2 linked regions of the Xenopus tropicalis genome follow. The protein of the gene in region 2 interacts with the protein of the main gene of each other region in a pairwise test. Links are inferred from orthologs where the notes say so. Each region holds a gene or a part of one and is shown on either strand. Other genes may lie near its edges. The genes, in order: cby1 and fam92a.

The links.
Region 1: the proteins of fam92a (region 2) and cby1 interact in binary tests that used the Homo sapiens proteins (3 or more experiments, as listed by UniProt). The two-hybrid records come from large-scale screens. The link is inferred for Xenopus tropicalis from reciprocal best matches to the Homo sapiens genes CIBAR1 and CBY1.

Annotation. Positions count from the first base shown.
Region 1 is NC_030680.2:120,458,564-120,461,127, forward strand, and holds part of cby1 (protein chibby homolog 1), read right to left. Parts: intron 2,306-2,564; coding exon 2,191-2,305; intron 1,568-2,190; coding exon 1,462-1,567; intron 883-1,461; coding exon 770-882; intron 1-769. UniProt on the Homo sapiens protein: Inhibits the Wnt/Wingless pathway by binding to CTNNB1/beta-catenin and inhibiting beta-catenin-mediated transcriptional activation through competition with TCF/LEF transcription factors.
Region 2 is NC_030682.2:127,982,008-127,985,191, reverse strand, and holds the end of fam92a (protein FAM92A1), read right to left. Parts: intron 3,008-3,184; coding exon 2,906-3,007; intron 1,049-2,905; coding exon 1,019-1,048; 3' UTR 769-1,018; downstream 1-768. UniProt on the Homo sapiens protein: Plays a critical role in regulating mitochondrial ultrastructure and function by maintaining the integrity of mitochondrial morphology, particularly the organization of cristae.

The sequences.
Region 1 (2,564 bases), on a different chromosome or scaffold from region 2:
AAAAATATGCCCCTAAATGTGTGTGTATGGCCAGCTTAAGGGTGAAGACAGACAGAGTTACTTGTAGCAGCTACTTGTCATGGCTGCTAAAATTGACAATGCTGATCGTTTACTGATACCTGTCTCTATGTGTGTTTTAGCAGAGTCAATTCTCAGTATTGTCTATGGCAGGGTATTTTCTGGTGTTTAATAGCCGTGAAAAAGTAGCTGCTACTAGTAGCCCAGTGTGTCTTCTCCCTAAGCGTTTATAACCTTCTCATTACATGGTAGGAATATGTTGGATTTGACTCTTCTAGACTTCCAGGCAAAAGAGACAGAATGCAATGTGGCACCCTTTGAGTGAATGACTGCTTGAGGAAAGTGGCCACATCTACTTTCTAGCAGGCCTATGAACCCATACATGATCTGATAAGGGGAAATGGGTGACTGCATTTTTCACTTTTATAAATCTAATCGTAGCACATAAAAATAAGAAAAAGATTTTGATCTCACTAGATAGCTAAAACATCCTATGAGGAAGAGGTGACATGTCTTTCTCAGCTAGCACCTGCCCTATCCTTTGTGAAAGCAATTCACTCCTCAGTGAATTCTACTGCATTACATATGTTCACATAAGATAATTAAAATCTACCCTGTGGCTCCCTTTTTTACAAGAAAAACTTTCTAGATACTGAAGGACATCTGCACCTCAGATCAGATGTAATCCACTGTAATTGTCTGTAACCTGCAACATAATATTGTTCATCGGAGATGACAATGTCACTCTTACCATATCCAGTAGGAGTTCGACTTTGACACGCAACAGGTTGTTTTCTTCTTCAAGCTGCTGGTTACGCTTGCGCAGCCTTTGAACCTCCCTCTGTGATCCAGTGCCCCCTGACTCTGCAATAATGGAGGGAAGAACCAATTAAATGAAGACAAAGGCCTTCATTTTTAGCAGTATACAAGGAGCAGGACTCAGCATGGCCTCTATTACAAAGTTTGGGAATTTATGGGGAATTAAAACTATAAAATCAGTGAAAGGCTCACTAACACCATGAACTGCCAATAAAATATAAATAATTGGCTGTGACAGTCCTTTTTTGTGTAAAAATGTAAAAAAAAAGTTTCATTGTGGGGGGGGTGTTAAAAAGTTTTGTTTTTTTTAAAATTCACCAGTGCACCTAATGACTGCTCACTAAAGCTGCTGTAGTGGTCTTTTGCAAGGTTTTTAAATGTAGTGAATTTTGTAGTGTAAATTTACAAAAGTATTGTATTGCACTAAAATTTCAGACAATCTCATCTGTCCCCAGATGTCTTGCACCTAGCTCCTATACAGTACTCCGTCAGCCCATTTGCCCCGCAGGCATGCACCAGGCCTGGATTAGGCTACTAGGAGGAAAAGAGCATAAGCCTACATCCAACTCAGATGCAAACTGGAAATCCCTCAAACTTAACAATAAGAACAAAAATACAAATTACCAGTGATCCAGTGTCCATTTTCAAATTTTAAGCTCTGGCCTGCAATGTTGATACTTGGGGAACCATAATCTAAACCCAATTCAACTTCTTTAGTTGTCCGATCCAGCTAGGAAGAAAAAATAAATGTAGTCAATTTTGCAAACCATATTATGTTTATATTCTTCAAAGTATTACTGTTTACAGTTTAATTATATGGTTTTATTCTAGAAGGAATGTTCATTGTATTAAAGGGAATCATGAATAAACAACAAGAACACCATCTTTAGCTGCAAACAACTCTCTTAGAATCATGGCTAAGAAGGTGTTTTTGGTGATGGAAATCCAATGTAGATTGTAAGCTCTTTTGGACAGGGCCTTCTTCACCTCTTGTATTTATAAATAAATGTTAATAATAATAACTACAGTGCAAATCCCCCTAAAATGCTGGTACTGTACAGGCAAATGCTGGTCACAATATGTGCATTTGAGCCACACATGCCATGACAGTGCGCACAGTGCCTCAACCTATTACACTTTTTCTGGTACAGGGTCCCATACACAGAGGCAGCAGGTTTGCAAAATAAAGGGTTTTCAGAAATTCAAAGTTTTACACTAAAATGTTTTGCATATCCTTGACTAATTGTGCAGAAGAACTGGGAGTTTAAGGGTTAAAACTCCTGCCTCCTCTGTTTACAGGGAAGTAAGGGTGTAAACTACGGTAGAAGCTATCACAAGATGTAAGGGACATACCGCGTGCAGATTAGACAGGGAGGCCGATTTCCTTGGTGGCACTTTTTTGGGGCTGAATGTGTTCCCGAATAGGGGCATCTTGCCTGAAAAAAATGTTGTGTCCAGGATTTGTTCTCTACAAAAAAAGAAAATAAAAGTCAACAAATTACTCAAAAAGAAAAGCATTTCTCATCAGATATTCTTTAAAGAAAATAACATTCATTAGAAAATGCTGAGCTGCGCAGAATCAGTGGCTTTTTTCATATGGCGTCACAGCTACAGACTTGTGTTAAAATAACAATAATAATTCTAACTGTTCTACTGGGGGAGTTGTGACGTACACTGGGACCAAAGTTGCCACATACCTTAACTCTGTATCAACTTGCAACTGACCT
Region 2 (3,184 bases):
CTATATCTATTTCTGCTATTACTAGGCATAATCTATGCTATGCTGCCACAAAACTAGGAATATTCACTGTAAAGGGTAGATATTTACCCAGTTATCCCTTGTACCGCAAGCTCAACAGGGGGCACAATATAAGAAAGTATGTCATGATTGTGCAGTTAGTGCAAACTCATATGAACCTGTAACATCAGAAGGGTGATGTTACTGCAGTGCTGACGACAAGCAAAACTTTAGTTACTGGGAGGTTCCTGCTTATTAGGCACCCCCCCCAGCAACTCGAATATTACCTCTACCAAACCATGATTCATCTCTAAAAGCACACTGGCAAAAGGGTATTTTTTAGAAGAGCAGGTTACCTCCATTTTCCCCCAGCTTTCCAGGCACCCCTGCACCTTGGTAAGACTTTTAGACGTGTCACATACACAGGACAGAACTCTTCAGAAACCTTTTGTACTATACATGCCCCAAGTCAAAAACACCTAACCAGGAGTAGTGAATACCAGCAATGCTGGGGGAAATTGGTGGAGGCCTGCCTTGCTGAAAACTATCCTGGGCTGATTGACTTTTTAAAGTTAATCAGCAGCTGTAGTCCAGTGGAACAACACTGCTGTGAAAGGGTGTATGTCCCCTTTAACCAATTCTACATGCTGACTGGTTGCTATGGGTTACTGCTCCAAGGCAAAGTTAGTGCCTTTTATTACATAACCCATGTGTCCTATTGCATTTAAGGCTAATAGCACCAATATGAAATCTGGGTTGTTTTGTCCGCTGTTTTTTTTTTTTTTCTCAAAAAGAGGCAAACTGCCCCTCACTGTTTATCAGCATAGCCAGCTTTCACATTGTTCTTGCACACTTGCAGGGAATTGCATGAAATAATATGTGAGGGGCTGCGTCTAAAGTTGTTTGCATTGGTCCCATATGTTCATCATGAATATTAATCTTTGGACCAAATATCATCTTCCAAAAGTCCGTTAGTCCTCTGCTCCTGGATAATTATGCCAGCTTTGTAGTTTTGCTTCCATTATTTTCTTAGAAATATTTCTACCTGTGACTGTAAATGTGTAAAGGAAAAATAAAAAGCAAACACCAATTTCCAAGCAGAAAAAAAAAACAAATGTTAAACTATTCCTAAAGTTAATAAACCACAAATGTTTCTGATCTTTCTTATACAGGAGCACATGAAAAGAAACTAAGAGGCACACTAAATTGAATGCTACGGAGCAAAGAGTGCACTGGATAGTTTCTATACATTGTAAATAATGTATTGCTTTTGTTAGGCGATCAACTTTGTTATACATTACTACAAACATACAAATGTGCAGCAGGAAACCACTGATGAACACTAAGTGCTACAGGTCACAGAATCTACATCCTGTGGCTAAAAGAACTCATCAGCATGGGTGCAGAAGGAGATCATAAGACTTTACAGCCTGTGATCTGCTTCTGTGTCATACCCCTGCCTCTAAGAAATAAGCAGAGTGTGGGAACAAACAGTCCCTAGGATAGAATTTCCCCAGCGGAGTAGGAAAAGAGCAGGCATGTGGCGCTACCCCTAAACATTTTGATTCACATAGCAGCTTTTACTTATGACTTATAAAACAAGTTTCAAAGGGGTTGGGTATGATGTATTTTTTATTATTTGTAGTTTTTTTTTTTAATTATTTCAGGTTTTTGTTCAGCAGCTCTCCAGCTTGAAGTTCCAGCTGCTATTTGGTTTCTAGGTTCCTAATTACCTTAGCAGCCAGGGTGTAGTTTAAATGAAAGACTGATATTTGAATAGGAGAGGGCCTAAATAGAAGAATAAGTAATATAAAGTAACAATAACAATAAAATAAAAAGTTTCATAGAGCAATATTTTTTTGCCTCAGGGTTCAGTGACCCCCCATTTGAAATCTGGCAAGAGGCAGGCAAATAGTTTAAAAAATATGAAAAACAAATAATGAAGACTAACTGAAAAGTTGCTCAGAATTTACACATATACAATTTTTATTGGCTTTTCAGTTCCAAATTGCTGTTGATACCTTTTTCTCTCCATGTAAAACAGGCATTGCACAGGGAGACTTTTCTATGGCCTTTAAGAGGGGCCTGGATTAGTTCTTGAACAAGCATAGTATCCAAGGCTATTGTGATACTAATATCTACAGTTAGTTTTAATGGTTGTATATATAGTTTATGTATGTTAGTGTATAGATTGTTAAGTATAGGTTGTGTGTGCTGGGTTTACTTGGAAGGGTTGAACTTGATGGACTCTGGTCTTTCTTCAACCCTATGTAACTATGTATTTGTAGAAGCTTATTTATCAAGTGGTGAGTTCTAACTTTTACCCACTGATAAATACACTTTTAAAAATCCCATGGGAATGAATAGAAAATGTGCAAGTATTTATGTATTAAGCTCTAAACGTATATTTTGATAAATCTGCCCCTATGTAATGATTTTGCTTTGATTGGTTTTACTGAATTATGCATAAAACTGCATTCTTCATTGCTTGTTTTGCAAGTAAAAATTATGGTTTCTACAAGCCACAGGTTTGTAATGCCAAGCATAATAAGTAACCAACCCTGCCCTGGTATTTATATTTTCACAAAACGATTTAGCAAATATTTGCAGATTGGAGAAAAATATACATTTACATATTTTGTTAGAACGGCTTACTTTCTAAAACTATATGGTTTTCTGGGGTCATCTTACTGTTAGGGTCAATTTTGGCCAATATAAACATGCTTACTTCTGGTGTAGTGTTTTGAAAATGTTTAGAGCCATATATCTTGTTACAGAACTGGGATTACACATTTAGAAAGCTTGCCTTATCTTGTAAAAAGAAAAAGTATTGAAAATGGTAGTATATGTTAATAAAGTCTAAGCATAATATATTTATTTTGCCCTTTATGTGGCATTAAAAGGATACTATAATTTGTCGATCTGATGGATTTCTCTGGCGAGTTTTCTCTAGCTGAGCCATTTGTTTTGCTTCCCGGTTCCTAGCAGTCAAGGTCACTTTGAGATCCTCCTATGAAATGATAAATATCAATGTTACTCTTATTCAGACATTCAAAAACATTCACAAAGTTGATCAATACTTTATAAAAAGCTGAATCTCTATTTAGAGAGATTTCAGTAGAGTACATGGGAATCACTGCAGTTTCACAGTTAGCTAGAAATTTTAGAAGGGCTTACACCTAAAAAC